2 linked regions of the Kluyveromyces lactis genome follow. The protein of the gene in region 2 purifies or fractionates together with the protein of the main gene of each other region. This does not show direct contact. Links are inferred from orthologs where the notes say so. Each region holds a gene or a part of one and is shown on either strand. Other genes may lie near its edges. The genes, in order: NSR1 and TOP1.

What was found.
Region 1: the proteins of TOP1 (region 2) and NSR1 purify together in Saccharomyces cerevisiae (affinity purification with western blotting; 3 studies listed by BioGRID). This does not show direct contact. The link is inferred for Kluyveromyces lactis from reciprocal best matches to the Saccharomyces cerevisiae genes TOP1 and NSR1.

The regions. Positions count from the first base shown.
Region 1 is NC_006039.1:990,322-993,856, forward strand, and holds NSR1 (Nsr1p), read right to left. Parts: upstream 1,849-3,535; coding exon 511-1,848; downstream 1-510. Other genes in the region: KLLA0_C11517g (gag-pol fusion protein), read right to left, coding at 2,753-3,535. UniProt on the Saccharomyces cerevisiae protein: Involved in pre-rRNA processing. Specifically binds nuclear localization sequences. Candidate for a receptor at the nucleus that may be involved in both RNA and protein transport. Binds telomeric sequences of the type (TG[1-3])n in vitro.
Region 2 is NC_006039.1:535,753-540,299, reverse strand, and holds TOP1 (DNA topoisomerase 1), read left to right. Parts: upstream 1-1,418; coding exon 1,419-3,776; downstream 3,777-4,547. Other genes in the region: MIX17 (Mix17p), read left to right, coding at 4,381-4,547.

The sequences.
Region 1 (3,535 bases), about 450 kb from region 2:
TTGTCCATATCTTTTGAGGTGGGTTACGACTGTCATACGAGTGTATTAAGGGATTCTGTAATGCAGTCAATTGTCTTGAAACTTGTCTTCTCTTTTTTCTACACCTTTAAAACAAGATTCAAAGATGAAGCTTAATTTTACAAAATGCACAGATTCGAGACTCTTTTCCATAGACCTTCTTCGCAGACTTCTAGTTCAAAAAATATTAAAAGCTACTATACACACATATACAAATGATTTAAAGAAAATAAAATAAGAAAATAGAAGATGAATGCGATTCAGTGAAGTTTACAATGAATCAGTTGTTGATCTATAGATACAAATAAGATGACGAATGGTTATTCTTGTGATTTAATTTTTTTTTATTTTTATTTTTTGACACTCTATTGTTTCAATGGATGAGAAATGATCTTCTTTATTCCCAAGAGCATGTTAGGATGATAATGAAAAGTGTTTTCGACTTTGAGGAATGAACTTTGTTTAACTCTTGTGTATTAAGTATTCAAAAATTCAATCGAAGGTCTTTTTGGTACCTTGGAAGGAAGCAGTTTGTCTGGTAGCTCCTAGAGGAGAAGCGTTAGAACCGGAACTGAATTCTCTACCTCCTCTGTTACCACCGAAGCCACCTCTACCGCCTCTGCTGCCGCCTCTACCGCCTCTTCCACCTCTGTCAGAACCACCTCTGTTAAAACCACCACGTTGGTTGTTGCCGAAGTTTTGCTTTGGAATGGAGTAGTCTAATCTGACTGGTCTGTTATTAATGTATTCACCTTGTAGACCTTCAAAGGCTTTAGTGGCATCTTCAATACTACCGTATTGAACGTAACCGAAACCCTTTGGTTGTTCAGTTTCTGGGTGAGTTGGGATACGAACAGAAACAATTTCACCATATTTACCAAAGATCTCGTACAAGTTGTCTCTGTCAGCTTCGAAAGACAAATTACCCAAGAACAAAGTGTCAGATGGTTCAGATGGAACGTCGCCGAACTTCTTTGCTCTGTCGTCTCTTGGAGCACCAGCTGGCTTCGAGGTAGACATATCACAGTTGATTGGTCTTCCGTCAATTTCCTTACCGTGCATTTCCTTGATAGCTTTTTCAGCGTAGGATTTGTCTTCAAAATCGACATAACCATAACCACGGGATCTGTCAGTACCTCTTTCGTACATAACTCTGGCACTAATGACACCACCGATTGGTTCAAATTCGGTCTTTAACCATTCATCGTCAATGGACCATGATAGTCTACCAACGAAAATAGTAGCTGGTTCACCAGCCAATTCAGTCTTTGGCTTTTTGCTTTCAGATTTCTCTTCGTCATCATCAGCCTTACGCTTGTTAGAGCTTTTTTCCTCTTCTTCATCGTCATCAGATGAAGAGTCAGAATCAGATGAAGAATCAGAATCAGATGAAGAAGCGGAAGATTCTTCCTTCTTCTTTTCCTCCTTCTTTTCTTCTTCTTCGTCAGAATCAGAGTCGGAGTCTGAGGAGGAGTCGGAAGAAGAGTCAGAATCGGAGGATTCTTCTTTCTTAGCTTCTTCCTTTTCAGATTCGGAATCAGAATCAGAAGAGGATTCGGAATCAGAGGAAGATTCTTCCTTCTTAGTTTCCTTCTTTGGTTCTTCTTCTTCGTCAGAAGAGTCAGAAGAGTCAGAAGAGGAAGAAGAATCGGAATCAGAAGAGGAATCAGAGCTAGAATCAGAGCTAGAATCAGAGCTAGAATCAGAGCTGGAATCGGAGCTAGATTCTGGTTCAACAGCCTTCACCTTCTTTTCATCTTGCTTCTTTTTTAGCTTTAGGTCCTTCTTGGAAACCTTCTTGGAAACCTTCTTGTCAGTTGATTTACCCATTATGTGAATTGTATGTTTGAGCGATGATATTATTCTGTACTCTGTTAATAGATAATCAACAAGACTCGATGCTACAAGAATTGCGTTTCAAAATAGCGTTATATCAATAAATGTTAGTTAATGAAGAAGTGTTACTGAGCAGGTATAACTTATCTTCTCTTATAACAAACTTCTTTTTCCAATGCGATGAGCTGAAGAGTACAGAGACAATAATTTTTCACTTAAATCGTTTCTTTTCCGTTTTTGTTTGGGTTTTTTTCACTGAAAAAACTTTTCATCACATTTTTTATTGAAAAGAAATTACCATGAAAATTCGTGATAATTTGGTGCGAGGTATGGGTTCTTTTAATTTCTGGCGCGCGACTGCGTTCTCTCCAAGGTTGTATTCCTCTGATCCGATGGCAGTTGATGAAATGTCAACTGTGAATAATCAGTGATGAATAGATGAAGAAAACCTACAAAGCAGATATTCATGACATATAGTTATTAAATTATAGTGAAAATGGTTTTAAATTACGAGAGAGTATTGATGTTAGTTTGTAATCTATTAAAAAGTACATAAAGGTATACGTCACAAAATACACTTTATAATTGTCCTCAATAATTTCTTAGTTCATTGCCCAATATACTTATAGAAAAAAACCGAGAGACTTTTATAATCGATAGTGCACCCACCTTGTGTTGAAAGAACATGGGAAAAAATATTTAGGGTCAAAGGATTTGCTTCCTTTAAGTAAAACAGGAGAAATAGAGATGCAGATATATCAGTGTTTAAATTAATGTTTGTGTCAAAATTGAAGGTAAGAATGAACTTGAAATGGTTAGTGTTGGGTTAGAGCTTTAAATACGATGAGATTGATGCCCGATAATAATTTCTCAATTGTATTTATTCTTCGCAATAAACTCAGAGTAGAGAGATTAATCCCAGAAATACTCCAAATATTGTTGAAGATCTTGCGTTTATGGAAGAAGCAACACCTTGAAATATTGAAATCGAAGAAACTGCTCCAAAGCTTACCGTAGAAGAACTTTGTTCTGTGTCTGTTTTTGGTGCTTGAGAGGTAAAAGATTCCAATGAAGGTTCCATAGGTTCCGTAGTTTCATTTGGTGCTGATGATGGTGAAGAGTTTGATGGTGAAGTTGAAGTTGTTAGATCAGTGACTGGAACAGTGACTGTACTTGTAACAGTCGTACAGCGTGTTCCATAACAGTTCTCTGATGTGATGGTAGTTTCTGAAAGTGGTGTGGAATAGATCTCTGTTGTTTCGGTGGTACCTGATTCAGTACTTGCCTCAACATTTGTTTCAATACTTGATTCAATAGTTGGTTCAGTAGTTTTAAATGAATCAGTTTTTATTTCTGATGTTGTAATTGTTTGGATTAACTCAGAAGTTGTGCTTTCAAGGACTGGAGTGTCACTTGTTACAGTATCTGCACATTCTTCACGATTGGAGCATACAATAGTCGTTTCAGTTGATATTTCCGTCTCAGTCGTAGAGATATCAGAAGTAATAATTGTGCTCAAGGTCGTTGGAATGGGGGTTGGAAGAGTAGTAGTTTCAGATTCAGTAATTTCAGTAGAAATGCTAGCGGTAGATGGGATTGTTTCAGATTCGGTACGTCCAGTCGAACTACTCAATGTGGACGGGGTTGTATCAGGGAGAGTTGTGGTAAAAGATGGTGGTGG
Region 2 (4,547 bases):
ATAAATAGTCTACACTTATCAACCTCCAGTAACTAATTTCTTTCTTGCGTGTATTTCCTTGGCCCGTCCAATAAATACCTTGCAATTAACGGTTTTGTGGCTCTCGATCAAAAAAAATGAATCTACGACGTCAAAGCACTGGCACCGTTGAAAAACTGAAGCGATTTAGGTTAACAACAGCAGAATGAGTACAACAACCAAGATTCTGACTGTTAAATGATGTTTCCGCTCACTGTAAGTCTTCCTTTCACCTGCAAGTTTGTAAACTAATATCAGTGATGTAAGTATTCCTAAGAATAATCGAACTTTCAACTGAATTATGGCAGTCGCAGTAAAAAAATGCTTCTAATATCAAAAGAACCCTTGTTATAAGCACTTGATACGTCTCAGGTAAGATGGTAACAATTAAAGGACTGAGTTCCCGCCCTCTCTTATGCCAAGTATGCTCTTAGGAAGTATGTAAAGAAAGACTGTATAATATTAGAATCTGACTTTTTTCCCTTCCAATATAATAGTATATTATACCAAACCCAGTACTTTTAAGCTGATATAAAAGCCAAACCAGTATACAAGGATACCCAAATAGTAATATCAATGACAATGAGCTACCGCAATTTACTGTAACTTCAAATTTATTCAAACCGACAAATTACTAGTTTTGTCAACTTTGAAAACACAAAACCGACTATTTACATTATTGAATTTTTTTCGACATTAACCAAATCTGTACAACGGAAATGAACAAAATGTAAACAATAACAAAACACTCAATGCGGTAAGTGCCAAAAACCCTTATTTCTTTAAAAGGACATTTTCCTAAGTAAGTATCTAATGAAAAAGCAAATAATTACCTTACCCGAATATTAGATCACGTGAGACTTTTTTTTTTTTGGGGGCAATTTTGAAAATTTACGGTTGTTCTATTTTCATTTTCACTTCTGCCCTTTACAGGTTAATATCTGTTGAATGTCTTGGATTCTTGAAAAATCAAATCTTCAAGCATTCGGTAGAAAAAGCTGATCTATTTTTTAGTAAGAGAAGAGGCACTGTCCTGATCAGCGCCTAAAGAAAACTAATAAAAAAGAAACATCCTAAACGGTCGAGAGAGTTCTATATTACTGGTGTCGGTAATATATCTACTTTAGAATTTCCTTTGTTTTATATTTACGATAAGAAATTTAAGGTTAAGACGGACCACAACCAAAGTAATTTGATATAGCCCATTTTAGAGCGCTACAGACTTGAATAGGCAGGTAAAAAGAACCCTATATAGTACTTCTATCGAATTAGTGTCGATTGAATTATTTCACACCATCTGAAGGAGTATTTGGCAAATTCCTTTTGTTTTGCTCGGGATCTTTTTATTTTGATTTGATTGAATACTACTATAGGAGGTCAAGAAAACGCTCATTTCCCATATGAGCATAACTCTGAAAGATGATTCTTCATCAGATGATGAGGATGTAGTATTAAAGAGGGTCTCTAAGGGTGATAAACAGACTAAAAAGAAGTTGAAGCGTGTGAAAAAAGAATTGTCAGATGGAGATGATAGCGATGAGGATGAGGAAATCGTCCATGCCGCAAAGAAGAAGCAAAAGAAGCTCAAGAAAGAGAAGGAAGATGCTGTATTAAGGAACACCAATGGCAATGGTGACAGCAACGGCAAGGTAACTGGTAGGTTAAAAGTTAAGAAAGAACGTAAAGAGAAGAAAGAAAAAACGAAAAAGATCAAGAAGGAAGAAGTGAGTAATGAGGATGATGAGGATAAGAATCTGGCGGATATTGCATCAGAGACTCCATTTCAGTCATCTGCAAGGGCTTCCTCCATAGAGTTAAAGGAGTCATCGGAAGATTTCAAATGGTGGGAAAATGGCGACAAAGAGGATGACACTATCAAATGGACTACCTTGAAACATAATGGTGTCATTTTTCCTTCCACATACGAACCCTTACCAGCACATGTCAAGTTATACTACAATGGGAAACCAGTAGATTTACCACCACAAGCAGAAGAAGTGGCTGGATTTTTTGCAGCTATATTGGAATCGGACCATGTCAAGATTCCAACGTTTCAGAAGAACTTTTTGCACGATTTCTTGCAAGTGCTAAAAGAGAATGGAGGAGCACGCAATGGAGTGCAAATAAAGGAGTTTGGGAAGTTAGATTTCACTAAAATTTTTGAGTATTTCCAAGTGCAAAAGGAACAGAAGAAACAACTAAGTCCACAGGAAAAGAAGCAGCTTAGGTTGGAAAAAGAAGAACTGGAGAAACCATATAAATTTTGTGAAATCGATGGCAGGGTGGAACAAGTAGGTAATTTCCGTATTGAACCACCTGGTCTTTTCAGAGGCCGTGGTGCTCATCCAAAAAATGGTAAATTAAAGAGGCGTGTTTATCCGGAGGATGTTGTACTCAATCTCGACAAAGAGGCACCAATTCCAGAACCTCCAAAGGGTCACAAATGGGGTGAAATCAGGCATGATAACACGGTACAATGGTTATCAATGTGGCGAGAGAATATTTCTAACTCTTTTAAATACGTACGGTTTGCTGCTAACTCTACGTTGAAAGGAATGAGTGACTTCAAGAAATTCGAGAAGGCAAGAATGTTGAAGGATCACATAGATAAAGTGCGCACAGATTACAAAAGCAAAATGAAGAGCCCTAAGACCCTGGATAGACAAATGGCTGTAGCCACGTATTTGATTGATGTGTTTGCATTAAGAGCCGGTGGTGAAAAAGCTGATGATGAAGCTGACACAGTGGGTTGTTGTTCTCTACGGTATGAACATGTTACCCTAAGACCACCAAACACAGTTGTTTTCGATTTCTTGGGTAAGGATTCTATTAGGTATTACCAGGAAGTTGAAGTCGATGCACAAGTTTTCAAGAACCTTAAGATATTCAAGAGGCCTCCAAGCGGACCAGGCCATCAATTATTTGACAGACTAGATCCATCGATATTGAACAAACACTTGCAGAATTATATGCCAGGATTGACTGCAAAAGTTTTCCGTACGTACAACGCATCTAAAACGATGCAGGATCAACTAGATTTGATTCCAAATGAGGGTACTGTCGCTGAAAAGATCTTGAGGTACAACGCAGCAAACAGAACCGTTGCCATCTTGTGTAATCATCAACGTACTGTCACCAAAGGGCATGCCAGCTCTGTGCAGAAGGCCACTGAACGTATAGAAGAGCTAGAATGGCAAAAAGTACGTTATAAGAGGGCTATCTTACAGTTAGACAAGAGCGAACGCAAGAAAAACCAAAATTATTTCAAGGAGATCGATGATTTAACGAAAGAGGAAGAACTCACAATTCATAAACGCATCATTGAAAGGGAACGTGAAAAGTACAAAAGAAAGTTCGAACGTGAAAATGAAAAACGCAAGTTCAGCAAAGAGGATCCGATTCCAGACTCTCAATTGCTCGAGTGGCTAGCTAAAGTGGATGACCTTGAAAAACTTTATGAAAGAGAATCAACTACGGGAAAAATTGAACTAAGAGAATCTTTACAAAACTTGGAAAAACTTAAGCAAAACGTGGAAAAGCTGGAGAAAAGAATCACAAATTGTTCCCTTCAGTTAAAGGACAAAGAGGATAATTCCACTGTAGCATTAGGAACTTCAAAGATAAATTATATCGATCCAAGACTATCTGTCGCGTTTTGCAAGAAATTCGATGTCCCAATCGAGAAAGTGTTTACCAAGACTTTGAGAGATAAATTCAGATGGGCTATCGAGTCTGCTGACGAAAACTGGACATTTTGAGACGGGGTTTCATCAACTTACAAACTCACAACCTTGTAGTATATATACCATAACGTAGCATATATATATATATATATATATATATATCTGTTCTTATTATTAATTCACGTGCCGTTTTTCAAAATTTCAACCCGCAAATTGCATAAATACATGAATAATATATCGTAAGGATATTCCAGAACGAAAGAGAACTACAAAGCTCCGTCCACACCGTCTATCTAAGCCATCTCCTTTCAATGAAAAAGATGACTAGCTATTCACCTCCTTGTCCTTCCTAAATACATGACTTTCTTTGTTTATTCTATACCGTTCCCTTCTGATAACGCCGTAAATTCGGGAATACTCCATACACGTCCTTTGGCGGGCCCGGCACGCCCCATAAAAAAAATAAGAACGACATCTCCGTAACCGTATATAGTGATGTATTCCGACTATATAAGGAACGCCATCCTTCACATTATTCCTTCCAACGCTGATTTGGTTTCGAACGGTGATTAACGGTTGAAAGAATAGAAGATAAACCAAGATCGATTCGTCAGTATCCGACAGGACCGAAATATTGACTCTAGAGGAGAAACAAAACACAATAAGCAAATCATAAAAAATGGCTCGTTCAAGAGGTTCTGCTAGACCGGTTTCAAGACCGCAAACTCGTTCTGCATCTACTGTAGCTGCTCCAGCTCCAGCTCAGCACCAAGCTCCTAATGCGTACTCGCATCCACCACACACAGCTCAACCACAACAACCGGGTATGTTCGCTCAGATGGCTTC